Linked DNA regions of Ovis aries. The protein of the gene in region 4 interacts with the protein of the main gene of each other region in a pairwise test. Links are inferred from orthologs where the notes say so. Each region holds a gene or a part of one and is shown on either strand. Other genes may lie near its edges.

What was found.
Region 1: the proteins of UBE2L6 (region 4) and ARIH2 interact in binary tests that used the Homo sapiens proteins (3 or more experiments, as listed by UniProt). The link is inferred for Ovis aries from reciprocal best matches to the Homo sapiens genes UBE2L6 and ARIH2.
Region 2: the proteins of UBE2L6 (region 4) and RNF144B interact in binary tests that used the Homo sapiens proteins (3 or more experiments, as listed by UniProt). The link is inferred for Ovis aries from reciprocal best matches to the Homo sapiens genes UBE2L6 and RNF144B.
Region 3: the proteins of UBE2L6 (region 4) and DTX3 interact in binary tests that used the Homo sapiens proteins (3 or more experiments, as listed by UniProt). The link is inferred for Ovis aries from reciprocal best matches to the Homo sapiens genes UBE2L6 and DTX3.

What each region holds. Positions count from the first base shown.
Region 1 is NC_056072.1:51,055,580-51,062,434, forward strand, and holds part of ARIH2 (E3 ubiquitin-protein ligase ARIH2), read right to left. Parts: intron 3,592-6,855; coding exon 3,524-3,591; intron 3,025-3,523; coding exon 2,961-3,024; intron 1,781-2,960; coding exon 1,630-1,780; intron 695-1,629; coding exon 573-694; intron 1-572.
Region 2 is NC_056073.1:38,532,849-38,540,464, forward strand, and holds the start of RNF144B (E3 ubiquitin-protein ligase RNF144B), read right to left. Parts: upstream 3,901-7,616; 5' UTR 1,540-3,900; coding exon 1,537-1,539; intron 1-1,536.
Region 3 is NC_056056.1:162,057,894-162,065,390, forward strand, and holds DTX3 (probable E3 ubiquitin-protein ligase DTX3), read right to left. Parts: upstream 5,047-7,497; 5' UTR 5,012-5,046; intron 3,647-5,011; 5' UTR 3,585-3,646; intron 3,402-3,584; 5' UTR 3,356-3,401; coding exon of another isoform or gene 3,328-3,355; coding exon 3,327-3,327; intron 2,990-3,326; coding exon 2,241-2,989; intron 2,168-2,240; coding exon of another isoform or gene 2,053-2,167; exon of another isoform or gene 1,325-2,052; coding exon 932-1,324; 3' UTR 770-931; coding exon of another isoform or gene 694-769; 3' UTR 67-693; downstream 1-66. UniProt on the Homo sapiens protein: Regulator of Notch signaling, a signaling pathway involved in cell-cell communications that regulates a broad spectrum of cell-fate determinations.
Region 4 is NC_056068.1:79,631,165-79,638,019, forward strand, and holds part of UBE2L6 (ubiquitin/ISG15-conjugating enzyme E2 L6), read right to left. Parts: intron 6,372-6,855; coding exon 6,276-6,371; intron 5,846-6,275; coding exon of another isoform or gene 5,808-5,845; exon of another isoform or gene 5,371-5,807; intron 3,018-5,370; coding exon 2,831-3,017; intron 1-2,830. UniProt on the Homo sapiens protein: Catalyzes the covalent attachment of ubiquitin or ISG15 to other proteins. Functions in the E6/E6-AP-induced ubiquitination of p53/TP53. Promotes ubiquitination and subsequent proteasomal degradation of FLT3.

The DNA.
Region 1 (6,855 bases), on a different chromosome or scaffold from region 4:
ACCCCTTCTTTGGGCCGAATCACAAGGTGAAGGGAATAGAACAGCAACTCCTGAGATATGCCTGACTTATGTTTATCCCGTGACATACAATAGCTTGTTTAAGTAACTTTGCGTAAGGTGCGGGGGATGCGGCTTCCCTTGTGGCTCAGCTGGTAAAGAATCTGCCTGCAATGCTGGAGACCTGGTTTGATCCCTGGGTTGGAAAGATCCCCTGGAGAAGGGAAAGGCTACCCCCTCCAGTATTCTGGCCTGGAGAATTCCAGGGACTATACAGAGCTGCAAAGAGTTGGACACGACTGAGCGACTTTCACTTTCACAAAGTGGGTGTGCCTGACCATTCTACACAAGAAAGAAACCAAGGCTCAGAGAAGGAATCTAAGGGGTCAAAGGATACAGAGTGAGGAAGAAACAGACTTGGGATTTACTAGTACTCTAGAGTTTTCAAACTTTTTAAAAGCTGTGCAGCTCTTTCTTCAGATTGAAAGCATCTACTGGCAGCCTCCTCTGTACAGTAACTGGTAAGCATCTGATGAAAAGGAGGCTCAGGAAGACCAGGCAGCAGCTGGGCATACCTCCACGTAATCCCTGAAGAGGTAGCGCCTGTATTTATCTCTCAGTTCTTCATTGGGCAGCAATGGAAACACGAAGTCCTCTGGTGTTCGAAGTGGGCAGTCCTGAGCCATGCAAGAGACACCTGTTGAAGAAAGACAACCGGATGGACAACTGTATCGCAGAAGACACACCTATAATGTATTTGCTGAGTTCACCCAACAAACTCACGTTTTACACAGGGAACCCCAGCAGCATCAGAATTTATTCAAAGAGAGAAATCAATATATTTATATAGTGATGCAACTAAAATATTATTACAAATTTTAAAATGACAGATAATTCCCTGATGGTCCAATGGTCAAGACTTGGCACTCTAACTACCAGAGCCCTGGGTCAGGGAACTAAGATCCTGTAAGTTACACAGCACAACAAAAAGAAAAAAAAAAAAAAAAAAAAACCCACAAAACCCAAAACCAACCAAACAACAAAAACAAGAGCAATTAAATAGTATATATCACAAATAGCACCGATTAAAAAAAACTGCTTAAAAAATCCCAGAGGGTTCTTGACTTACAATTTAGCTTTGTGATGTTTACTATTATGTGCATGTGATTACCATCAACACAGTGAGCTTTTACAGATATAATTAATATAATGCTAATTTTAATATCATGAAGTCATAATTTAACAAAGACTCCTTTAACTCATCACCAAGTCTGATTTGTGCTTACCTAAATCACAGTAAACCCTCTAGGAGTTTCTGAAGTATGGCTGCCACTTTGAGAATCAAGATAGACAAGGTAGGCAGCTTAAAGGACAGTTCTCCCAAAAAGCAAGAGAAGGTAGCCTTGCCGTCACACCAGCAGTTACATAAATGCCCAAACATTAGCCTTAACTCTTGCATCTTGCTCAGGACTAGGGTAAACCTTGCCATTGTTCAGACTGACATGTTTGGAAACCAATGGTTCTGATTTTGAAAACTTCAGTTAGGTTCACAAGAACACCTGAGTGGCAGAAAGGGCAGGGCTGAAGCTGAACAGTTCCTGCCAGCCGCTTATGAGCCCCACGGGGACTCACCCACACCCACGCCGTCCTTGACGAGCACGGAGCAGTGCTGCTCCCAGCAGCTGCGGCAGAACTGGTGCTGGCAGGCCAGAGAGAGGAGGTTTTCCTTCCGCACAAACTGCATACACACTGCGCAGTGGTGAGGGGAGTGGGCTGGGGGCACCTGGAGGGAGGTACAGTGACGTGAGCCAGCCTGCAAGAAGGATCAGAACTCCACTGCCATGTGTGGGCTTTGTGAGTGCCAGTTCTGAGTGGAAAAATATAATATCAGGAAGGCTTCCCAAAGGAGGTGGTAGTGGAGCCAGGCTTGGTGAACCCTTAGATTTAGAGAGGGAGAGAGAAGATGGAAATGAGATCTCACAGTAGTTTATAAGGTCAGGCTGGAAAGACCAGGATTTCAGAGGTCATTCAATCTGCCTTCTTTTGGAGGCTACTAGGTTTCTTTTGAAAACTGCCCTCATTCAGCATGGCCAGAGTTGCTTCTCAACAAGTACTATAAACCCAGCCAATAGGTTCTTAGGGGCTGAAGTGTGAGCCTCTAATAGCTCCAGAACCCATTCTCTGCTACATAAACTCACAAAGACAGTCTGGGGGCACCAGCCAAAGCCACAAACCAGTGAAAGCCCAACATGAGGTTCTTGTTAGTTCACTGGCCATACAAAAAATAATTTGAGGAAAAGGACCATACTCTGTCTAGTATGCTTCTGGAAATTCTCTAAGAGGCTGCATAAGTTATGTGGTGATCTGAGCCCTAATTCTCCCCCATTCATTTGACAAATGCTGACTGAACTCTCAACAACAGGAAATCGCTATACACTGTAGGATATGATTCCTAAACTTAAAAAGCACTTAGTCTACTATGGGAGCTAAAAAGATATGAGTGAATCACTGCAATATACATGTAAAGGTTGAAACATATAATTAAAAGAGTTTGGAGGGAAGTGTTCCCAGGAGACAGGTTTTGGGAGACATGGCTTGGATTTGGGTCTTTAAAGGTGAGTTCCATTCTCATGAGCAAAGATGGGTACAGGATCTGGACAATCCCAGCCAAGGAAGGCAGCAGCAGAGTTAAAGAGGCATGCAGTGAACGGGCACCCCAAGAACACAGCAAGGACAGAGCATAGGCTATATATAAGTGCAGGAGACGGGTGAGGCTGGAGAGGGCAGGCAGCCATTCACTCCTCGTCTATGAGGAAAATGTCCAAATGATGTCGGAAATGGAAGATTTAGGCCTATACTGGAACAAGCATCTTGGGGATGCTGCACTATAAACAAAATAAGATGGTTCTCAATAACCGTGTGAGCCATAGCAAGAGCCACGTGTATCAGGAAGGGACACTCACATGTTTTGATGGATTGGGCTGAACTCGAGCCTCAACGAGCAGCTGGGCAGAATTAGACTTGTATCTACAAAGCAAAAAGCATAAAGGGAATCAGAGCTTTGGTTCTGGAGATATGGTGGTAAATGAGCTGACCTTTCTCTCTGAAGGTAATAAGCACTATGTCATGATGTATTTATTCCACTTGATGTGTCTGAAAGAAATACCTGGAGATATTGCCAAGTGTTATCTAGAAGGGCACTGATTTAACATTAATGATGGCATAAAAACTCTGACCTAACTTCACTGTCCAACAACAGGGGTTTGGAATACGATGGAACATCAATATGGTAAAATACTGTACCTTCATTAAAACTGGGGGTACAGAAAGAATATGCTGAAAACATTGGAAAATGTTCACCATATACTGAGAGAAAAAAGGCTATACAATATGACCCAGTGTTTAAAAAATATACTCTGCACACTGTAAGGATATTCTCCATAACACAGACAATTATTACCACTGGGTGTGCAGGCAGAGAGAAGTTACAGACAACGCCATCTCTTCCTCCCCCAAAACACCTTACCTGTCCAGTATCTCGGCAACTTGCCAGTGGAAATTAACTAATATAAGTTTAGCAACTGAATGAGACACCTAGAAAGAAGAAAAAAAGAAATAAAATTATAATGCAGTTGGGTTGTTTTTTTCAGAGTGCTCTTACATTTTGAGAAATGCATACATTTCTCTATACTGCAGGTCCAGGCTTGAATTTTAAAATCTTCCTCTTGGTTCTGTTTTATCTTTTACGTTCAGACTCTTAGAGTCTTAAGCAATTTCCTGGATCTCTCGATTTTTCAACCTTTATTTTCATTAGCAACCCTTCAAAGAAATTAGTTTCATTTCAAACTTACACAAAACCATCCTATCTACAGTAAATAAGGACCTAGAATCCAAAGTAAGCAAATGAGCTGTAAGTTCCCTGATGTGATTTATGTTTGCTGAAGCTGCTGTAGGAGGCCATACACGAGCACCTCCAGGTAGGCATGTTACTTGCAGAAGCTCTCCAGGCTTGAACTTCTTATATAAACCCAGAAAAACAAAACAAAACAAACAAAAAACACCCCTGGTTAAAACCTCTGCCTCTATAACAAAACTATTCATCCACAAAGACTACTATCACAGAATGAAAACAGAGACAAAGTATTTGGTATAAATGTTAAAATTTGCTTGAGAACAGCTTTTGGCTACAACTATATTTTTACAACCTGAAAATTATATTGTTTTATTATTTATTTTTGGCTGCAGTGCGCCGCTTGTGGGAGCTTACTTCCCTGCAGTGGAAGAGTGGGGTCCTAACCAATGGACTACCAGGGAATTCCCAAAATGAAATTTCTTGACCTTCCCAAAAAAATAGAACTTCAGCACCATACCTGGTCTGATCCCTTGATCTCAACAGCACTAGCAACAGCAACAAAGCCTCAGAATTAGCATCAGCCCCTCCATGTATGGAAAACGACACAGGCCTCCGCTGAAACTGAAAATTTTACTGATGACTACAAGTCCACTAATGACCAACTCAGAATATTCCAGCAGAGTTCTGGTGAGAATGGATAATGTGAAGAGAGGATGTGTCTCAGTTCAGTTCCGTCGCTCAGTTGTGCCCGACTCTTTGTGACCCCATGGACTGTAGCACACCAGGCTTCCCTGTCCATCACCAACTTCTGGAGCTTACTCAAAATCATGTCCATCGAGTCAGTGATGTGTCTAGTGCTTCATAAAAGTGAACAGATGTCCATCTATTCTTTCAAAGCCAACTGCTGAGGATTATCAATACATACAACACTACAGGCACACGCACCTCCCACCAGCCTTCTACCGGAGGCACTGTGAGTGCCCATAGCGTGGCCTCAGTGTATCACAGACTGCCAAGGCCTCAGTCTCCCCCAATTAATCCATTATGAATGTGAAGGAATTTTAAGACCATTAATTAAAGCAAAATATAGAATGATGGCACTCTGCCCAGTAATGGACACCAAGGAAGACCTACAGGGAAGTCAGGATACAAAGGGCCCTCTGAGCAAAAAGCCAATATATATAAATCACAAATGTGTTTCTACATAGCAGCAAATAAAAATTAAAATTTATTGATAAAACTAAACTGTATTGATAAATATATTTTATTTAACCCAATATATTAAAATATTTCAACATGTTAACGCACTGAAAATTATTAATGAACTACATTTTACATCTTTTTTTTCCATCTAATTGTTCAAAGTCCATTGTATTCAGAATTATAGAACATACCAATCCAAACTGGCCACAATGCCCAGTGGCTACATGTGATTGCAGCTACCAGAATGGACAATGCAGCTAGACAGAACACAGCAATCAAAATTAATCAAAATCAAAGCAGGGGTTAGGGTATAAATTAGTAGCTGATCCTAAAATGTATGGAGAGGACCCTGAATATCCAAAGCAACCGTGAAAGAGCAAAGTTGGAAAAGACTTACACCATCTGACTTCAAGACTTACTATAAAGCTACAGTAATCCAGACAGTGGGGTACTGGCTTAAGGACAGACATATCTATAGATCAATGTAACAGAATAGTAAACTCATACACTTATGATTAATTTTCTACTAAGGTACCAATGTAATTCAACAGATGATAAAACAGTCTTTTATCAACAAATGGTTCCAGAATAACTGAACATCACTATACAAAACTCAGAACTTAAAAGCTTAGTTCATGTCACACAAACATTTCCTCAAGACAGTTCACAGTGTTAAATGAAACTGAAAACTATAAAACTTTCTGAAGAAAATCTTTGCAATCTTGTTTTTTTAGGTACAGATTTCTTAGCTATGACACTGAAAGCACAATCCTTAAAAGAAAAAATATGATATACTGGAGCTCATCAAAATTAAATTTCATTCTTCAAAAGACATTATTAAGAAAAGACGAGCCACAAAATATATGATTTGCAACAGAAAAAATAATTGCAAATCATATATCTGATAAAGGACTTAATTCAGAACATATAAAGAACTCACATAACTCAAAAAGCTCAACATTATTAGTCATTAGAAAGAAAGCGAAGTCGCTCAGTCATGTCCGACTCTTGGCGACCCCATGGACTGTAGCCTACCAGGCTCCTCTGTCCATGGGATTTTCCAGGCAATAGTACTGGAGTGGATTGCCATTGCAAATTAGAACTATAAGATACTACTTCACACTCACTAGAATGATACAGAAGACTGACAATACCTAAGTGCTGGCAAGCAAGTGGAGAACCTATAACACTTATATAATGCTGGTGGGAATGTAAGATAGCAGAGTCTCCTCAGAAAACAGTTTGGCAGTTTCTTAAAATGTTACATGCGATCCCACTGCTAGATATTTATCCAAGTGAAATGAAAACATGTCCATGCAAAACCCTGTTATACAAACCATCACAGCAGCATATTTCATAAGAGCCAAGACCTGGAATCAACCCAAATGTTCATCAACTGATGAATGAATGAAAAAACAAAATGTGGTATATATCCATAAAATGGAAAATCCTCACTGGGCAGTAAGAGGAAAGCATTACTGACATGTGATACAGCATGGATGAACCTTGAAAACATGCCAAGTGAAAGAAGCCAGACACAAAAGACTACATACTATAAGATTAAAGTCACATGAAATTTCTAGAAAAGGCAAATCTATGCAGACAGTAAGATGGTCAGTAGTTTCTTGGGACTGGGATTGGGGACTAACTACAAATGGATATAAGGGAACGTTTTGGCTGATGAAAATGTTCTGTAACTTGGATTGTGGCGATGGCTGTACATTTGTTCACATTTACTGCAACTCTTCTACTGGTACACTCTAAAATGGATGAGTTTAATGGAATGTAAGTAATACTTCAAT
Region 2 (7,616 bases), on a different chromosome or scaffold from region 4:
GTACAGGACATCTGGGAGGTCAAGTTTTAACATCTGCAAAATGCCTACCCTTCTGAAAAGCAAATTTATTTTTTTCTTGCCTTCTTTCTCTGTTCTCATCACCACTATAAGGTAAGGCCCAAGAGGCGGGAATCCATTCCCAGATTTCCTAACAAAACTTTCAAAGAAGGTAGAAGTGAAGATGAGAATAACAACTCAATGACATTTTTAACATTGTAATTTTACATTCATCATCACAGGTCCCTCCCCAACCCCACCACTGTGCCCTGCCCACCTCTTTTTTAATCAGTGGTTCCCTGGCCTCCCACAATTATTCACACAGCCCTGCTGAATAATTTTCTTCCCCCTGTTTGGTATAACAACAAAGCTCAGAAGCAGGAAGGAATGCCACTTACAGGCAGGTCAGACAGTGATGTAATTAACAGATCAAGGAGAAGTGTTATTTCAGAAAGCCCCATGGAGCAAGAGACCGGCTGATTTCCTGGGTCATGACATTACCAGGAAACTCCAGTTACTAAAGAATGAATATCTAAACCAAAATGTTTTCTTCAAATGCATAAAAGTTTGTATAAATATTACCCTCTCCTATGAAACTTAAAAGTTTTATAGAGACATTTTATAGATACAAATTTAAAACCAGTTTGGGGAAAGAACTCTTCCATCTCACACTAAGTGAGGTGCAGGGATATGTATTTTTGTACGTCTCTGCCAAATCAATTTCTCAAGGAATAAAATACAGGAAAATACAAAGTGCAGGAAATAAGGTCAACCCACAAAGAATCGAATTCCACACATGGAATGTGGATGTAAAGGTCATTAAACACAGTCCCCACTTATTAACAGTAAACTAGTTGAGAAGGTTGTCATCAGAAAGTTTCATATAAGCATCCTCAGGGTTTACAGCTTCAGCCACAAGTCCAACAAAAAAAGAAATGAGATGGTCTTGTTCTACCTTCCCAAGAAAAACAAAGAATGAGCTGACTGAAGGTCTGAGACGCAAACTCGTGATTGCAGAGGAATGAGAAACCAATGAGACACAGCTTTCGAAGCATGTTCTTTGACACCACAAGCCATACAATTAGAAATATCCCCAGCTATGAATAAGAGAAGTGTATTTTACTTAGACCATTGTGCTTTCAATCTCAGGAAGGGATTCAGTCACGGATGAGAATTTTCTCACTTCATGCTGCAAAAGTATTAACCACTTTCACTCTCTTTTACACCTTCCCATTTTTTAATAACTACTGTAGCACAATACATTAGGTTTAGAAGTACTCATAGACCAAGTAAATAATAATTTCCAATGATAACAGAAACAAAACATTAGTACAAGACCTCCCACAGAGGCCTAAAGGTGACAAAACAAATTAAAACTTAAAATAATTAAATAAATTAACTTAGGTGGGCCTATGCCTCTTCAAATTACTTAACACTCAGGTGACATCAGGGAAACATCAAAAAGAAAAGACATAATTGAGATGACAAAATTCAAAGTATTTTTCACTCTCAGGTAAAACAACATGAATTAAAAATTACCATTCTGGTCCAAAGTCACTCCCAAGCCTATGCAAATTCCTTCAGGACAGAGGCTACATCATATGCGTCTTTATGTCCTCAGCCTCCAGTCCCTCAACACCACAGAAGATAACTTATCTAATGTACGTGGAGGAGAGAATATATTCAGAGCCTGATTCTCATCTGTAGTCACTTCCAGCAATTCAAAAGCTGAAAAATACTGACAATCTGTTGTATCAAAGGTGCTTCAGTAAGCCAAGACAGGCATCCCTGAAAAAGAGTCTCAGTACTCAGGAGCAGTGGCTACCGATACCCACTCCCCAAGCTCAGCTTGACCTAGTTCCCATCTCCAAAGCAATCAGCTGCACAAAGTAGGTTTAGTCCCCAAACTGTCTGGACTTTGTTCCTCTAGCAACATCTGGGTTCCGCATGACTCCTGACCTCTACCTCAAACTAGAGATTCCAAACACTAAGAACTTCACTCAACAAGAAAGTAGAATCATAAGTCAATCCAGGAGACAGGCAGAAGCCGAGACTAGTAAAAGACACAGTACAGAGGAATGAGTCTGGTGTCCTTAACAATGTTCCTGGAAGTGTGTTAGTGGCTCAGTGGGGTCTGACTCTTTGTGACCCCGTAGACTGTAGCCCACCAGGCTTCTCTGTCCATGGAATTCCCCGGGCAATTATACTGGAATGAGTTGCCATTCCCTTCTCCAGGGGATCTTCCTGACCCAGGGATCGAACACGGGTCTCAAAAAGGAAAATTTAAATATAAATATAAATTTATCAGATTAAAAGTATTTGTATTACGGAAGACAAAAGACAGCTTGCAGAAACGTTGATGGTCTTACTATACAGCTAAAATAAGCTTTTTTTCTTCCTGATAGAGGATACTTTCCTCTCTGCTGCAGGGTTTGGCTCTGAAAACCTGGATCATAATCTGGAAGACCCAAAAACTAATTATTATGTTTAAAAAAAGACATCTCTTAAGCTGACCTAGTTTGGAAGCCTGGATGCCTTTAAATTGCCAATGAACTGAAACCATTCATGAGAATGGGGCTTTTGAATGCTGAGAATGTTCTTTGGGGCTCAGCACAAAGATATTTGGCATAGATGATTGTAAATATTTGTAAAACTCTGGGTAAATGGACAGTGTTTGACCACACTCAAACCTCATGTCCAGCACAGTACTGTAGAAGCAAGTTATCTGGGGTGATTGGTTTGGGGGGAGGCAGGGAGGGGGTTGGTTGAGGGACTTTTTTTTTTTTCTGTTTGTTTTAAATTTATAAAAGCCCAGCAATTCAATTCTGCTACAGGACATCTTTTTACACTTTCTATACCTTGAATTTGTTTACTCATCAAGACAGTTCCAATTAGTCAGAGGCTCCTTTTGGAACAATTTATTTTCTTTCCCACTTTTCTAACTTTATGCCCATCACAAAGAATAAAATCCCAGTCACAGGCATGCAAAAGGAAGGCAGGAGTTTTATGAAAACGTGGCCTTGGATTTCCTAATACAATTCTCTCCACGTGGCCTTGTGGATGGCTATAGATATTTTTTTTTCTCCTTCTCTCTCCTGCTCAAGATATCTTCAGAAATACCTAAGGGACTGCTACCCATGAAAAGGACTCGGGCTAAAAAGGGAGGACAGAGGAAGGAGAAGGAGGGACCAACAGAGGGGTTAGATGTAAAAGGGACTGGGGGCCAAGAGGCTCATCTCAGTGAAAGCTGCAGTAGTCCGATACTTTAGCCAGCAACTCACTGAAGACTGGCTTGGGTTCCTTTTGCCTCTTTATCCGCGCCCTAAAAACTGAGTCATGGCAAGGTTCATTTATTTTGCTTCGGGGCCTAGACACCCCCAATTGGCTGCTTCAGAAATGTTAGATACATTGTTCTTTAATTCATACCTGGCAACATTCAAATAAACCTCCAGAAATGCCAAATCAGAAGAACACTGCTAGCCTTACTGCCAGCCTCAGCTAATATTTTGATATGATACATGCAACAGAAAGTATGAAAAAAGTGAGACTGTTGTGCAAGCATGAAGAGAGAACATATTGCCAGAAAGGGGAAATCATTTCTGAGAAATCTAAATGTGAGAAGTACATTCAAGAGTAGACTGACAACAGAATCTCTGAAACTCCTTGTAAGAAAAACAAAAGGTACCCTGGAAGGGGTCAGCTAAAGATATCTTTTCTCCACTGATAGAGGGATCAGTTTCATTTTAACTTCAGCTTGAGAACAGCAGTGGAAGATCAAAGTTTCACCCTGTTTTACCCGCAATTACACAACAAAATAATCAGCAGAATGTATGACCAAGATCCCACGGATAACATCTTATCCATATGTAGGTATGTCAACCTACTGGCATGCATTCCCAAACAGCAGAAGATAAGTATCCGAGATTCTGCCTACTCTGGTCTCCAGCTGAAGACACTGGGAGGTCTGCTCTAATCTTGAATTTTACAATACATTCTGCAGAGACTAGTTTTACAATAAATTAAGCTCCTTCCTTTTTGCCTGTAAACGGAGAGCTATTTTTGTAAAGTTCACAGGTGTTTCAGGCGTTCAGAATGAATCCGATTCCGCACGGTTTCAGCACGAGAGGCAGAAAATAAAGCTAAACAACCCAGATATCCGAGTGAGTCTCCCGTCCCTTTTTCTTTTCTTAGTCCAACCCCACCGCTGTCTTGCAATGCCTGCAGCACTTAAAAAGCTGCCTAAACCTACCTGGCCGGAGAGCTCCGTTCCTCCCGGCCGCCGCCGGGCTTCTCAGCAGCCTGCCTCGCGCACTCCACCAGCCGGGGCCGCTCGCACCCCGGGGAGGAACGGCTGTTCCATGCCCTCCGTCTTCCGCCCTGCTCTGCGGCTGACAGCTTTGCGCTCTGCAGGATTGCAACAGGGCTCGGGCTCCCAGACCGATCCGGCCGGAGAGGGAGGAGGAGTCCCTCGAACCGCCTCCTGCCTCGGGGCGCAGCTGCGCTGCCCGGGAAACCTCGCAGAGCGCGGGACGCAGCACCGCCAGCAGCAGCAGCAGCGACAGGAGCCGTGCGTTTATTTATACAGGAAGCTCAAGCGCGCACTTCCTACTTCCCCATCTGGGTCGCACTTCAGCTGCAGGTGATGGTCTTAACCCTGTCTGAACCCGGCGGCCCGCGCGCCCCAGCAGTCCGGCCCTCCTGCGCTCGCTCCGCTTAACAAGACCTCTCGTCCTCCTGGGACGCCCGCTGCAGACAGCCAGCATCATCAGCCCCTGGTATCCTTCCTTCCTCCCAGACCGGGACACTTCTTCACCTAACTGGCTTCAGAACTTGCTGCTTCTCCTCTGCACGCGTCCTCCCGGGACACCTGTCTTTCCCTTCCCTCCCAGCCCTCCTTCCCACCCTTTCGGAACACTTGCTTCTGTAGAGCCAGTCCCCATGCACGTCTCATCTAAAAACATCGTGTACCTGATTTGTCCTTTAGAATCTAATGATAAAATTAGAACGCAGGCAAATCAAATCAGGACAGTCTTCATGGACCTCCTATAACACAGGCACACTTTTAGGGAAAAAACTGATTTTGCCGGAAGTGCTTTGCCAACAAATTACGTAGGGACTGCTTAGTAACCTAACAGGTAAGTACTCCAGCTAAAGGCAATGTAACAGAGTAATCCAGAAGCTGCGGGGGTGGTGGGGGGGGGGGGGGAGGTCTTATGAGGTCTTCTTCACTCCAAAACCTCAGACACTTAGTTTGTGCGACGTCTTTAACAGGTTACCTACCGACTCACTCCCCACACCCCCAGGGGTCACCATCACAGTCCCAACTCTGTCGAACTTCCAGCGTCGCAGTTTAGAAATGTCCCTCCCCAGACGCGGGAACCTTTCTGTGCTCACTCGGCACCCTCACTCGACTTTTGCAACCACAGTCGGAATGTGCTTCCTAAAAGGAAGGGACTCGCAGCCCTTTGTGGAAGGAATACTGAGCCTGCCAGTGAAGGATCAGCAGTCGGCACGGTGCCAAAGGACACAAGCGAACTGCCTCTGGGCTCTCTCCATGTTGAAGAAAACCTTGAGGTCAAAGCCAAGTGCGGAAGAACACAGTGTATCTCTGTGTATGATGGCAGGACAGACAGGAGGACCAGTTTTGTTTTTGTTCGAGTGACTGAAAACGACGGAAAATCATTCTCCTACAGTTCTTGAGCCCAGAAGTCCAAAGTCAGGGTGTCAGCAGGATTGGTTGCTTCTGGTGGCTGTGAGGGAAAACCTCTGTGCTTTCTCCTAGCCTCTGATGGTTGCTAGCAGTCTTTGGTCTTCTTAAGCTTGTGGCTGCATCAGTTAACCGATGCCTCCATCATCACATGGCTTTTTCCCTTGCATGTCTCTTTGTCCACATCTCTCCTATATTTTTTCCTATAAAGACACTGGTTATGGGATCTAGGGCCTGTCGTAATCCAGTATGACCTCATCTTCATTTGATTACAAGACCCTATTTTCAAACAAAGTCACATTCTTAGGTAATGGTAAGAATTTTAGGGGATACTATTCAACCCAGTACAGTACAGTATGTAATAGAAAACTTTAGATTTAAAGGATAATTCATTTGAAAAAGCTAGTTTCACAAAAGCACATTTTTTTTTAATAAAAATAGGTTTTCGAGGTTGATAAACATCTCTTTTCATGGACTTCCACTTAAACCATTATCAGAGTTCTAAATGACAGGTTATGACCAATATTGTTGGAAATTATTTTCAAGTACTATTACTTGTAGGGGTATGTGTGTGTGCTCAGTTAGGAGGAGGACCAATCTTCTAGGGGGGAAGGAAGGGAAGGAGGACAAGGGAGATAAGATGGTAAGAGAACATACAACAGGGTCCCAAAAAATAGAACTGAAGGATATTTGAGCTTGAAAAGTCCTAACTAGTTTAGTCCAGGCATTTAGCTTTAAAGATGAGGAAACTAATGTCCAGGGAGATTTAAGTGGTCGACTTCAACCAGGTATGGGCAGAGCTGGAATGAGACCTAAATCTGTGTTAGATGAAAAAGGTATTTGTTAATGAAAACTGCCCCACAGGTGTCTAACTTAAAATTTAGCATTTACCAGTGTAAATGCTTTAGCAGACCCCAGATAGCCAAAGCAATTTTGTGAAAGAGCTAAGCTGGAGGAAATCACATCTCCTGATTTCAAACTATATTACAAAGTTATAGTAATCAAAACTCTTTCAGATCCGCCTAACATAGGTTCTGAGATAATCAATGTCAAGGTATTTTCTTGGTGTAGTGAACATTATTGATGGGCAGGAATCAGGAAAGATAAACAAAACACCCTTTAAGAGGTTACTTTATTCATCAATGCCAGTACAAAACTTTGGTGCCTTAAACCAAAGTTCAACACACAGTCCACTTTTTCCATGCAATTAAGCTATAATCTCTTGTCAACAGGATAATGGATGAAGCTGCTGCTAATATGAATGAAAACACGGGTTAAGCAATAATCATGCTATCTGCTGCTGCAAGTGGCAGATGGGAAGAAAAAATATATTGTGTAATTAAATAATATCAGCATTGATTATTTTCAAGTTTATAAAATCTGCATTCAACTTTTAATAGGACTAAATGAACATGTAGAACACTATAGTATTATGTGAACAATTCTTTCAGATCTGGAATAAAATATTTAAGAACAAATGGAACCAAGGAGGTGAAGATCTATATACTGAAACCACAGACACTGATAAAAGAAATTGAAGAAGACAAAAATAAGTAGAAAGACATTCCATGCTCATGGACTGGAAGAATTAATATTGTTAGGATGTCTATCCTACACAAAGCAGTCTACAAATTCAATGCAATCCTATCAAAATTTCAATGGCATTTTTCCATAGAAATAGGACAAACAATCCCAAAATTTGTATGAGACTACAAAAGACCCCAGAGAGCCAAAGCAATTTTGTGAAAGAACAAAGCTGGGGAAATCACATCTCCTGATTCCAAACTCTATGACAAAGTTACAGTAATCAAAACTCTTTCAGAACTGCCTCATGAATCCACAGTGTGCCCTAGCCTCTCAAGCATGAATTGATCTCCTCCCAGACAAGCTGCTAGATGCTAGGAGGACTGAC
Region 3 (7,497 bases), on a different chromosome or scaffold from region 4:
GCAGGTCCAGCCCCCGCATCCCACCCCTTCCCCGGACCCGGCCCACAGAACAGAAGGGGCGCGGCATAGAGTTGCATATTTTACTTTATTTTTATTAAATTAAAAGCTACAGTCTGGCGGCGATTCCAGAACGGGATAAGGAGGCTCCTTATAGGGGGCAGAGAAGAGAGGGAGAAAGACTGACAGAGACAGAGACACAGGAGAGAAAGGACAAGTCTAAGGGTGAAGGGGGAATTGATTCTGAAGAACACACGCAGCCGGCTCCAGGGGTGCTCACAGCAGCCTGATCCCTCTCCCTGCACAGAAGTTCAGCAGTGGAGCAGTGTGTGGGGGTGGGAGGTTCAAGAGACCCTCCCTTCCCACCCAGGTCCTCTCTCAGCAGAGTCACTGGAGCACAGCACATACCAGAAAAAGCCAAGGGCAATGGAGGGGGCAGGGCGGCTGGGATTATGTACACGCGGAGGAGGGGAGCAGAGCCTGGGACAGCGCCTTTGCCAGAAGGGAGTGGCTCACACTGCACTGAAGCACTCGGCCAGTGGGGGGCTGGGGAAGGGATAGCCCCTCCCTCTGCAAACTCTTTCCCTGGTCAGACAGTCCCCTACTGGAGTGGTGAGGGGGGCAGAGGGAGAGAGAACAGAGGCTTCCGTTGGGTCCTACTGGAGAACAGCAGGGGCTTCCCGAAGGGGCTGTCCTTCAGTCATCTGTGATGCCCTTGGCTCTCAGCTCCTCCTGCACCCGGGTCAGGTAGGTGGGGTCCGGGTACCCAAACCTGGGAGCAAAGAGATATGAGGGTCAAGGTTAGCCCCTCAGGCTTACTCACATTACCCCCATTCTCACCCTCATTCTGGTGCCCCACTCTAGCCCCTCCCCACCTTCCTTAAGGTTATCCAAACCCAAGATAACTGAGCCCAATTCTGCTGATATTTGTAGGTTAAGCTAGGCACATCAGGACCAGGATGATTATAGGAGACACTGGGATGGACAAGACGGTTGAATAGTTTGGGGGTGGTCCTCTCCAGTGAGGAGGCTCCCAAAGAGAAGGGGTTCCCTCCGTTGAAATGGGGAGAAGGGGTAGAGCCAAGAGAAGGGAAGAAGGAATGTCGCACAGCTGTGGTCCCCCTGTGCAGCTGGTCTTGTGGTGGATGTCGTTCCAAGTGATGACATTCGGTCTCCCTGTGGTCATGGAGGTGCCAATAGTGAAGGTGAGACGCTGGTCAAACGCCTTGCGGAACAGGGTCAGCACCTTGTTGCCCTCGGGGCAGTCCGGGAGGTAGGCCACCCGAGTAGTGCCAGGATACCGAACTCCTGGGTTTGGGTGTTCAGCCTGGGGGAATGGGGAGGCAGAATGAGCAGCTGTGCATCTTAAGGCCCATGGAGGGTCGTGGTGGCCAGCCTTCTGGCTGTGCACTCCCAGCTAATGCTGCTGGGGCAGTGACAGCCTTCCACGGAAGGACCAGCTCTAGGGTCTGGGCACCAGAAGCCTGTTTCCAGACAAAATTCTCATCATTCAGAGGTTCTTTCTGCTCTCCCAATCCCGCAAACAACAAACGATTCTTGAAACTGACGGGAGGTAAGCTGGGCCTTACTCTCCAGATAACTCAGCAGAAATGTGAAGACAGAATCATTTATTTTTCAGCTTTCCCTTCTCCACCTGAAAGTACTCCCAGTGCATTTTCCACTGTCTAACCTGTTCCATTTTTGAATTTCTCTCCTTCAGAGCTCCCTCATCTTTCTGCAAACCAGAACTGGACATTACTCTTTGTCAAGCAGGAAAAGACACCTGTAGGCTCTTGACCACTACTGTTTTAACCTTTGACTGTCAACAAAATTTTCTGTCTCATAAATCTGAAATGGAGTTAACACTCCCAGCACTGTTGAGGGGAGGTCTGACTTTTCCCACTGTGCTGGTCTGCACCTGAGCCGCCATCCTCACAGGCTTCACCTCTGCTGACAATAGCTGTCAACATCCAAGTTCATCAAGGAAACAGAATTCGATTCCTTTCTTTCATACCTGATTTTCATGGGTGCCTTGGGGTCGTGGGGATGGAAAAGCTAGGCTTCAAGGGGGCCTCTTGCTCCAGGGCACTGAGCTGAGCGGGAAGGCATCCCAGGAGACAGCACGACTATATCACATCTAACAACCATACTCCCCTCGCACCCAGTTTTCCTAAATCAGAGAACAATCAGAGAACAAGGAGCCTGGGGAAACCAAAGGGTAAGGGCAGCCACAGTCTTCTTACCCCCTGGACACCGGGCGGGAAGACGTACTGGATGACGATGGTGCCGTACTTCTCATAGCTGGGTAGTAGGAGTGTGGCATCCTTAGAGACCAGCATCCGCCCGTTCTGGGGCTGGTTGCCCACCAGCTGCCCATAGAAACGGCCACACATGGGGCAGGCCTTCTTCACCTGCAGGGCCCGGGTAATGCAGCCCTCGCAGAACGAGTGCCGGCACTTCTCCAACGTCTTGGCATTCTGGATCTCTCCCAGACAGATGGGGCAGGTGCTCTCCTGCTCTTCTGTCTCTTCTCGAAGGCGGGGAGGAAGAGGAGGGGGTAGCGGAGGAGGAGGTGGGGGAAGCCCCCGGGCCCCTGGGGGCAGAAGTGGGGCTGCTCGGAGAGGGGGTGGGCCTGGGCGGTGCAGCTCAGGGTGCTCCCCTCCACCCCCCAAAGCCAGGCAGCCCATAAGCTCCCCCTGCCTCTGAGCTTTCTTGAGCTCTTTCTCTGCCTCCTTGAGCAGCCCCTTGAGAGCCTTCCTGGCCAGATAGAGCCCATTGGGAGGAGCTGGGGGAGGGCCCTGAGGGGAAAGCTGGAGAACATAGATGTCAGAAGTCTCGCCGTCTATGAGAATGGACACGTGGTGCTCCTCCCGAAGCCGGGCCAGCCGGGCAGGGGTCTCCTTGCTCAGGAAGTCCCACACAGGCTTGGAGACAGTCACTTTGTTCTTGCAATTGCCTCCACAGGCTGCCATTCTGGACAGGACGAACGACACTGCCCCCAGGGTAAAAGGGACTCAGGGTGGGGGGGTCCCCATTTCACAGATATCAGTGCCTCCTACTTCCCATTCCTTTCCGGTCTATATTACCTCTACTCTCTCAGAGCCCAACCCCCATCTCCTCCCCCAAGTTCACGTTCTAGTTCCTCCCATCTTTCAAACTCCAGCACCCTCTGAAGAGCAAGAAAGCTGCTCTAACTTTATTATCATCTAAGGTAAGCATCAGTCTTGGTTCTACACTCCTCCCTAGAGCACAGAAGCATCCTGGCCCTCCCCAACTCTGGACTGGGTTCTGTAAAAGGAAAGGAGATTTCAACCCTCCTTTTTGCTCACTTTGATCCTGAAGAGCTTAGAATTGGCATGCAGGCGCGCGCTCTGTCCCCACTCCCTACTTGTAGGTTGTGTGACCTGGTGGGTGGAAAGGAAAAGGAGTGGAAAACCCCTTCTCCCATTTCCACATGCCCCCACCCAGCAGCCCACAAGACAGACAGAACCTGGGGGTAAATCTCCTGGGAATGGGATTACTAGGAACATGGAATGAAGGAAACCAATTTAAGGGTGAAAGTTGAAGTTTCCATGAAAGGCAGATACCTGGAAAGCCCATGGACGGTGACAGCAGAATTCCCTCTGTTTCCACATTCAGCTGACCAGGACTAGGGGAGGGAGGGGGGGAGGGAGGGAGGAGGGGTTAGGATGACAAATATTACCCTTTCCCCCAGTCAGCCCAGAAGCAAACAAAAACTCCTCCATTTCCTCTCCCTGTCTTTTGCAGAATTTCATCCTCAGCCTCTGGCCAAGTTCCTAAAGAAGGAACTTCAACATGCTAACTTTCCTCTTCCTCAGCTCTGGGCTCTTAAGAAACCTAGGGACACAGATTAGAGAAGTCTGGAAGGGAAAAGCCCACACACAGAGAGGTCTGTTTTGCCACCTCCCTCAGATCACAAGGACAAGAATATCTCCTTTGCTCCCCAGCTTCTCGCCCTGCTCCACATTTTGCCAATAATTCAGCTCCTAGTGCTAGGGTGCCTTCCTTGAGTGTTAACCCAGTCCCTTCTGCTGGAGTCTGTTTGGAATGCGGACCAAGTGGCAGAAGCCCCTGTAATAACGAAGTTCTCGCTGTCACCTTTTAAACCCAGCACACAAAATCCAGGCCTGCCAGCAACCTAGGCTGCATTTCAGGAGGGGTGGAGCTCACACAGGGGATCCGCTGGAGCACCCTGATATTCTCCACCACCACCACCCCCTCCCTGCCCCAGTCTTGCTGTGTTCAGCTACAGAGCTATCCCTACAACACCTCCAAATGCGGCCCAAATAGAAAGAAGGGCCATTAGTGTGACCTCAATTCCTTGACTGATCCAAAAGGGAGCAGCTCTCCGTTTGTGCCTCCTTCCCAGTCCCCTCAAGGCCAGATGCACCTCAAGATTCATAAAGCGAAATCGGAACCCTAGAGCCTCGGCTCTTTCGGTCCATCCAGGTGGAACACCCCCTCCCCATCAGAGTGAAGCCAGGACCTAGGTGTCCTTTGCTCCGAGTCCTGCTGGCACAGAAATGGGAGGCGGGGCCACAGTTTTTGCTGGGTCCGACTCCTCTGGGGCAGCCCAGGCCGGACACGGGGCCAGTCCCTCCCGCTCGAGAGGGGCCGGCGGACAGGGGCAGCCAGGAAGGGCCAGGGTCCCTGGGGGCATCACGGAGGCATCTCCACCCCTCCCCCCCACGACCTCCTGCCAGACGCGACCCGGAACCAACTCCCCGCATCCCAGGCTCGGCAAAGCCCCGGCAGCCCCACCACTGGGTGGGGATGCATGTCGGCCGGATAGCGGGCCCCAGAACCCCCAAATGGAGGCCAAGGCTGGAGGGTAACAGACGGAGGATCGGCGGGGCCGGGCCCGGACCCCCGGGGTCGCGCGCAGGAGAAGGAGACCGAGGACCGGGCGCAGGGGAAGCGGGAGGGCGCGCGGGGGGTGCGAGAAGGGTCCGGGGGGCGCGCGGTGGGTGTGGGGGGCGCCGGGCTCACCTACCTCTCGTCAGCGCCGCCATTGCCGGTCACATGACTGAGGCTGTTGCTGGGATGACGGTCTGGGCCTTAGCAACAAGGGCGGGGGTGGGGGGAGACCCCGAGAAGGTGTGGGGGGGGGAGAGTTTGCAGGGGGTGCAGACTGAGGAAAAGGGAATGAAGGAGGATGGCTCCCCCTTCCCCCTCCCAGGTGATAATCACCGTTTCCTTTGACCCCCTTCCATCCACAAGCCCCTGCCTTCCGCCCCAAAACAGAAATGGAGGCGCCGTCCCAATCTTTGGAGGCGGGGGTGGTGTCGTGGAGCCCAGGGTAGGAGGGTAAATCCCTTAGAGACGCTACCCTTCTCGCTTTCCCCTCCGGAGAGGGGCCCTCTCTCCCTGTTCTTTGCCAGCCAGCTGCGTGGCAGCTTCTGGAAGCTGGTGGCAGATGGGTGGGTGAGGAATGTTGGTTTAGGTAGGTGGGGAAGAGGGGGCAATTTCTCTGTGATCCTTTTTCTAGAAAGGCCTTTGAGGAATAGGAGGTAGGAAGAAGAGTCATAGTAAAAAGCATTGGTTCTAAAAAATAAATCCAGGACTAAGACGTTTCCCTTCTTTATTGCTTGCCTTTTCCTAGATTGTTACCTTCTGTCAAACCTGCTCTCAGCTGGGTATTGATCTCTGATTTTTCTCTTTACACTGAGGCTGGTGCAGAATAAGTGAATACATTCTATCCAAAAAAAATGCCTTGGAGTGATGGTATCAAGTCTATAGTTGAAATAGTTAAAAACTCACAAATCGAGGAGGGAGGGCTGGGGGTAGGGACCGACCCTCTTATGCTTCCCACATCAGAGCCAGCAGTCTCCGCACCCAGTCCAACTCACTTCCCTGGGGCCACATCAAGCCAGGTTTTTCCAACGGTCAGAAGACCTCCTTGGCCAAACAGTACTGGATAGATTTCTCACACTGGCAACAACCTCTGCTGATCCACCCACTTTCTTCACTCCCTCTCCAGGCTGGATGGCTGGTCACTTCCTTCTTTACTTTCCCAGGATCCTGATGTACTCTTTCTGTCCTCCACACAAAGGACATCTTTCCCAGGAAGCCTGGGGAAATACTGGATTCCTTCTGCTTTAGCTCACGTGTGCTTGGTGCTGTTAAGACTCGCTCACCTTTAGAGATGTGTGATCTAGCCCAGAACCCTGGGGAAAGGGGTGGAGGGGGGTCACGTCACCTCAATTGTCCCTGACCCCCCTGTACCTGACTCCCGCAAAACTGGGGAATGTCTTCCATTCCCATGCACACTCCTGGCCACCTTTTAAGCTCACAGCCATCTATCTTGAAACCCACGTCCTTAGGGACCCAACACCTTAAAGATCAGTTCTTTACATGTCACTGCACCCCTAAGCCCAGGCTTCCAAAAAAGAGGAGTGGGGGAGAAAAAGAATTTCTGTGAAGAAATTTGAATTCAATAATTTATTTTCCTTATAGTGACAGCAATGGGAGTAAATACACGAGATCTTTTTATTAATAAAACAAAAAAGATGAAAAACAGAAGCAACAAATGAAAACCATAATGCTTATGATACATCAGCCAGAAATGGGTCAGAAAACCCAGTTCTAAACAAAGTTGCTGGTGTCATGGAGTTTTATTGCATTCAACAAGGGAAAGGTAGACGGTGGAATGAAAAAGACCCATGAGGCTCCTGACAGGAAAATTTTATAGGGGCTCCAATCCTCAACCGGGGACTCCTCTTGTTACTTCCTTTGGAGAAGACGGAGGGGCAGGAAGAATTCTCCTTTATGACCTCATGACTTCTTATGAGACAGATCAGTCCAGGCAGATACAGAGCTGAGAGTCTTTGTATTCCTAGAGGCCACTTGCTGGTGCCCCATCTTTGTGTTCCAGAGAAATGCAGAAGCCTCAGGGGAGATGCAGAATCACAAGATGAATGGCTGCCTGAGGCCCAAAGGCATTGCGGGGAAGGGAACTATCCCAGCTCATCAGGGTCCATTGCATTCTGAGAATATCATGCATCAGCTCAACTCTCTTTGGAGGGGGCTGGGTGACTGAGTTATGGCTCTGACTCCTCTCTGGGGGTGGAGAGTGAAGATGACAAAGAGGGCCATCTGTCCCCTGAGAGACACAGTAGCAGTTAAGATGGACAGAAAAGAACAGAATAACAACTCCAACTGGGAAAAGGTTTGAGAAGGGGCAGGGGAGGAAGTATGCTAGGGGCATACTTCCGAGGAGTGGAGGAGGCATCCCCATGTGAGACTTCCATTCTCTAGAGATGATGAGGGTTAACCCAAGTAGAGGTATTCCCTTCTGCTGGGACTAAAACCTCCGGGAAGGCTAGACATGAAGAAAGGAAATTTAACACAGGGAGTGAACCTTACACCCTTGGCTCATCTGTCCAGCCTCCAGAACTGACCACACCCCCACGGAAGGGTTCTGGCCCTAGGAGGGATGTGAGGTCCTGGTGAAGAGCAGCAGCAGTCAAACAGCTTCAC
Region 4 (6,855 bases):
AACTCTGCTTTTGTTGCGTCTGACTCTCTGAGACCCTGAGGACTGCAGCACGCAGCCTCCTCTGTCTTCCACTATCTCCTGGAGTTTGCTCAAATTCATGTCCACGAAGGTGGTAACAGGACTCCAAAACTTTTTATTTGGGGAAAAAAGGGTTCCGAGGCTCAAGACTGGAAACCACTCCTGCCTTGTGGCTTGAAATCTTTCACGGGTGACTTTGGGAACCGGGAAGGCAGTGCCCCCCCCTTGTGCCCGTAGGCATGCACACAAGCGTGCGGCCCTGGGCTCGGGGCGCTCTGCAGAGCTCTGGTGCTCACCAAGGACCACGCCTCTGCCTCTCCCCAGCACTCGTTTCCAGGGTTAAGAACTCCCGAGCTGATCCAGAGGTGGGATATTTTTTAAAAGCATTTATTTATTTATCTGGCCTCCCTGGGTCTTCATTATGGATCTTTAGTTGCAGCCTGTGGGATCTAGTCCCCTGATCAGGGATCAAATCAAGGCCCCCTGCATTGGGAGTGTGGAGTCTCAGCCACTAGACCACCAGGGAAGCCCCCAGAAACAGGACTGATCACATACTGATTACGTCCACGACTAGGGCCACAGTGCCTGACCTGTCGCTGCAGCCATGTGTGGTCATCTTGATTTAAATTAATTGAAATTCATGACAATTAGGAATGCAGTTCATAGTCCCAACAGCCACACTTCAAGTGCTTGAAAGCTACATGGGGCCAGTGTCTGTGGCATTGGACAGGGCCGCTATAGACCGACTCCATCACTGAAGAAAGTTCTGCTGAGCCGCGCGGTTCAGAGCCGGCCAAGCGAGGCCTCGAATCCCAGCTCTGCCGTCTGCCAGCTCAGGTAAGAGCTCAGCTTTCACAGGCCCGTGTCCTGATGGGGCCGATGAGAGCACTATTTCAAGGGGCTTCTGGGGGACTGAATGAGGCTGATGTGTTAAAAATGGCTGATTGCCCTGGGTTAGAAAGTTCAGGTTCTCAGTGGTGCAGGGACGTATGTGAGACCAAGTCCTCAAGGGCCATCAGCTCCATTTTTGTATTCCTGAATTATGATTAATCCAGTATAATTCCAATTTGTCATCCATGGATGTACACCAAAAATACCATCTGGAAGAAAAAAGTGACTTTTTATGCTGGAGAGGGTGGGTGGAAGAGAAAACCCTCCTACTTTGTTGGTGGGATATGTAAATTGGTGAAGCCACTATGGAGACCAGTAGGAGGTTCCTTAAAAAAATAAAAGTAGAGTTGCCGCACGATCCACCAATCGCACCCGAGCATATACCCAGAGAAAACGCTAACTCAAAAAGCTACGCACACCCCAACGTCCGCAGCAGCACTGCTTACAACAGACAGGACATGAGTGCGACCTAAATGCCCACCGACAGACAAGCGGGTAAAGAAGACGCGGTAGACACGCACCGGGAAACAGTACTCAGCCGCAAACCACAGTGAAAGGACGCCATCTGCAGCAACGTACGGATGGACCTGGAGATCACCGTATCAAGCGAAGGAAGTCAGGCAGAGAAGGACAGATACCGTATGATATCCCTTACATGTGGAATCGTAAAAAGATACACGTGAACTCACGTACAAAGCAGAAACACTCACAGACCCAGGGGAAGCAGGAGAGGAGGGCGACACCAGGAGCTAGAGGTGAGCAGATACGAACTGCTGCACGCAAAGACAGTCAGCAAGGCCCTGCTGTGTCGCCTGGGAAACCACTCAGCACCTGTGATAGACGCAGTGGGAAAGAGTGTGGAAGGAACGCATATTCACGTGGATCCCCGGATCACTTTGCTGTGTGCCATAAACCAACACGACATTGTAAATGAACCGTAAAAGTAAAGTGAAGTCGCTCAGTCGTGTCCGACTCTTTGCAACCCCATGGACTATATTAGCCTGCCGGGCTCCTCTGTCCATGGCGTTTTCCAGGCAAGAATACAGGAGTGGATAGCCATTTCCTTCCCTCAAAATTAACCATACTTCAGTTAAAAAAAAAAGTGAACTAAAAAGACACCGTGTGAAGCTTTCAGCGCAGTGTCAGAGTGCCTGCTGAAGCGACGCACGTCATCGCTAGGCCCGCCCTTCGGCTGTGCTTACAGCACCGGACCTTGCGTCCACCACCAGTCCCATCCGCAGCTGCGGACTGTTTCTGCTTTGGCTCTGGCCCTTCGTTCTTTCCGGAGTTATTTCCCCACTGACCTCCAGTTGCATGCTGGGCACCTCCCCACCTGGGACGTTCCTCTTTCAGTGCCCTATCTTTTTGCCTTTTCATACTGTTCATGGGGTTCTCAAGGCAAGAATACTGAAGTGGTTTGCCATTCCCTTCTCCAGTGGCCCACATTCTATCAGACCTCTCCACCATGACCTGCCCGTCTTGGGTGGCCTCACACGGCATGGCTTAGTTTCATTGAGTTAAACAAGCGAATTCAGCGAATTCAGTCACTCGCTCACGTCTGACTCTTTGCAGCCCCATGGACTGTACAGGCTCTTCTGTACATGGAATTTTCCAAGCAGGGATCGTGGAGTGGGCGGCCATTCCCTTCTCCAGGGGATCTTCCTGACCCAGGGATCAGACCTGGGTCTCCTGCGCTGCGGGCAGACTCTTTACCATCTGAGCCCCCAGTGAAGCCCTGGTAGTTTCTTGCCTGGGAAACTCCGCGGACAGAGGAGCCTGGGGGCTACTGTCCCTGGGGTCACAAAGTCCGGCGTAACTTAGTGACTGAACGGCAGTAAACAGGAGCCACCGACACGAAAGTGGCCCCGTGACCCCCGCCCCGACTCGGTCTGGGGCCCTGTCCTGGCGGGACCCAGCCCACCTTGGCAGGTCTTGGTGCTGGCTTTCCAGTTCTTCTTGTTGATGAGGGGCAGGCACACCCTCCCGTCCCTGTCCACGTTGGGGTGGTAGATCCTGGTGGTGAATTTCACCGTGGGGGGCTGGAACGGGTACTCCCTCGGGAAGCTGATGCACAGCCTGAAGGCCTTGAGGTTGTAGGGTGGCCTCTCCTGTGCGAGAGAAGGAGTCATGCTCTGGGCAGAGGCACCGCTGCCCTCCTCCCCCAGGACCTGGGCCTGGCTCCCCCTCCCCGCCCCGCCCCAGCGTCCCAGGCTTCCTCTGCTCCACTCCGAGGAAGGACCGTGAATGCAGACACAGACGGCACGTGCACCCACGTAGCAACTGGACTGTGCGTCAGAGCCCCCTGGCCTGGCACTCCCACGAGTCAGATCCTGGCTTCTGCTGTGTGCCCGAGGGCCAGCTGCCTCCCACCCCTAAGCCTCAGCTTCCTCCCTTGAGAAATGGGTGCAGTTTGACTGGAGACATCCTCAGGACCACCTTAGCTTCTTTTTATTATATCAGTAATTAACATCTTTCCAGTTTTATTGAAAAATAACTGATACACATCACTAAGCTTAAGGCGTCGAGCTTGATGGTTAGATTCACATATGCTGTGAAAGAATTACCACAATAGGTTCAGCTGACACCCATCTTCTCATATAAAAAAACGAAGAGAAAGAATAAGGAAAAAAAAATTTCTCCTCGGGGTGAGAGTTTTTAGGATTTACTTTCTTGACCATTTTTCTAGGACTTGTCTGGTGGCCCAGTGGTTAGGAATCCGCCTGCAGACATGGGTTCGATCCCTGGTCCAGAAAAATCCCATATGTCCCAGAGCAACTAAGTCCATGAAAGTGAAGTTGCTCAGTCGTCTCTGACTGTGTGATCCCATGAACTGTAGCCCACCAGGCTCCTCCATCCATGGGATTTCCGGGGCAAGCATACTCGAGTGGGTTGCCATTTCCTTCTCCAGAGGATCTTCCTGACCCAGGGATCGAACCTGGGTCTCCCGAATTGCAGGCAGACGCTTTACTGTCTGAGCCACCAGGGAAGTCAGCTAAGCCCGGGCGCCACAAGCACTGGGTCTGTGCCCTAGAGCCCGGGAGTGCATATCCCGAAGCCGTCTCGCCCTAGAGCCGTGCTGCACAAACCGAGAGTAGCCGGCGCTCACTGCGACTAGGGGAAAGCCTCTGCAGCGACAGAGACCCAGCAGAGCTTAGGCAGTGCATACTATTACGGGTATTTTACCACCTTAAAACAACAATTCGGAACCGGAGTGCCTAAGCGTTGCCAGGAGCCAGCAGAAGACCCTCTGCTGCTGCCGCTGCTGCTAAGTCGCTTCAGTCGTGTCCGACTCTGTGCGACCCCAGAGACGGCAGCCCACCAGGCTCCCTCGTCCCTGGGATTCTCCAGGCAAGAACACTGGAGTGGGTTTCCATTTCCTTCTCCAATGCATGGAAGTGAAAGTGAAAGTGAAGTCGCCCAGTCACGTCCGACTCTTAGCGACCCCATGGACCGGCAGCCTTCCAGGCTCCTCCGTCCACTGGATCTTTAGCAACTGGAAGGCTTTCCTGCACCCGTTCTGTGCTGCCTGCTGCTAAGGGCTTGACACGCATTAGCCCATGCAGCAGGGTGTAGGGGTTACGTGGGCTTCAGGCCACGCGGCTGGAGTGTGAGCCGTCGCTCTGTCAACCCCATGCCTGTGCGACCTTAGGCGAGCTGCCGAACATCTCTGTGCTCTCCTTACAGAGAGTCACAACCTCCTCCACAGGGCTTGCCCGACAATTAAATGAGTCGATTCACTTTTCTTCTAAGGTAGTGAAGAGTGCACCAGCTTATTTTATTTTATTTTTTTTTTACTATTTATTTATGTATTTGGCTGCACTGAGTCTTAGTTGCAACATGCGGAATCTAGTTCCCTGACCAGGGATGGAACCCAGGTGCCCTGCGCTGAGGAGCACAGGGTCTTGGCCACCGGGCCCCCAGAGAAGTCCTGTGCTAATTCACGTCAGGGATCTAGAATATGGCCAGGCACATGGCAAGCACTCCTTATGTGTCAGCTCTTAGGGTACGTACTTTGAGAACTCATAGTATTAGCATCAGGATTTCCAGAAGAAACAAGTTCAGCATACACAAGTGACCTGCCCAGGGTCACAGCAACAGTGCCCGATGGGGACTCAGCACGGTCGACTGGACTGTTCCACACGGGAGCAGTAACCCACACCCCTAGTGGGGGGGACCCCAGGGCTCGGATGAGCCCAGCACAGCACACAGGGGCCTCCAGGCTGCTGCGAAAGCTCCAAACCCTTTCAGAACCTTCGTGGCAGAGAAGGCAGGAGAATGACCGTCAGGACGACATACGTGGGACTTCCCCGGCGGCCTGGAGGCTAAGACTCCGTGGTCCCAGTGCAGGGGGCCCACGTTCGACCCCTGGTCAGGGAGCCGGATCCCACAGGCCGCAACTAAGACCCGGCGCAGCCAAATAAATAAGCCTTTGAAAAAAGAATGACATACGGAAGTTCGGAGTGAAGGTTTTAAGAAATTCCCTCTTCCTGAGCAGAAGGCAGAAAGGGAGCTGTGGCAGTCATGGGTGTGTCCGAGCAAATGCTGGGCAGATAAAGAACATGTGTTCTCGATACCGTGCAGAGGCTGGGGCTGGGGCACAGACCCAAGACCAGGGGTGAGGCCTCAGCAAAGGGGGGGCTCTAGGGCTTCAGCAGTCGTGGCAGGTGGGCTCCGGCACTGTGGGCCCAGGCTCTAGACCACAGGCTCAACGCTTGGTTGCTCCGGGTGTGTGGGATCTTCCCGGGTCGGGGATTGAACCCATGTCTCCCGCACTGGCAGGCGGATTCTTTACCACTTAGTCAACAAGGAAGCCTTTTGTTGTTGTTTTTGATGCTCTTTGTCTGCCGAAGCTTCCATGACAGGCTCGGTAGCTACTGGCTTGAAGAAGGGGTCTCCGACTAAGCCCAAAGGCCTTTTAGCCTCTGCATCAGTTGGCCTGGACGTCAGAAGCAATCAATGTAGACAGAGACACCTCTGCCAACGATTATCTCCAGTGAAAAAAGGGTTCTATGACTTCCCTGATGGGCTAGTGGCTAGGACTCCACCCGCCAGGGCAGGGCACACGGGTTCCTCGCTGGCCCGGGAAGACCCCACATGCTGTGGGGCAGCTAAGGCAGTGTGCTGGTTAGTGAGCCCGTGCTCCGAAGCGAGAGAAGCCACCCCAGTGAGAAGCCTCGGCACCCAACTAGAGATTGGGGCCCAGTCGCCGCAGCTAGAGAGCGCCCGCGTGCAGCAGCGAAGTCCCGGTGCAGCCAAAACTAAGAAGAAAGGACTCTCAGGCAGGAAAGTCCTTGCCCGGTCCAGCCCTCGCGGCCCCAGCCCCGGCCCTAAGTGGTCCAGTCCCAGCAGGCCCCGCAGACACTCACAGGCAGCAGCAGCGCGTGCCACACCAGCACGTTGTCCTCCTCGCTGCACAGGTGCCGCAGGTACTTGGGAAGCTGCTTCTGCAGGTCTTCCAGCTCCTGCAGGGGCACAGAGCGGGCAGCTGGCCGAGCCTCCCCTCCTCCGGCACCCCGCCCCCCCCGCCCCACAGCAGACCGTCCCCAGTTCCAGGCAGGACAGAAGCCGGCATTCACTGCGCACTGTGTGTCCGGCCCGGTGCTCAGGGCCTTAAGTGAACTGCCCGGTCTTTAGCTTCACTCCAGCTCTGTAGGTACCAGGTGGAGGATGATGCACATCACCAGGTCTAGATACTGTAACCTGGGAGTAAACCTCTTGGGGCTCAGTGGTAAAGAATCGGCCTTGGAATGCAAGGGACACCTGTTCGATCCCTGGGTGGGAAAGGTCCTCTGGAGAAAGAAATGGCCACCCGCTCCACTATTCTTGCCCGGAGAATCTCGTGGACAGAGGAGCCTGGCAGGATACAGCCCACGGGGTCGCAAAGAGTCAGACACGACTGAGCGACTAAATACCAGCAACGCAGCTCTCTGAGGAGCCTTTCCTGCA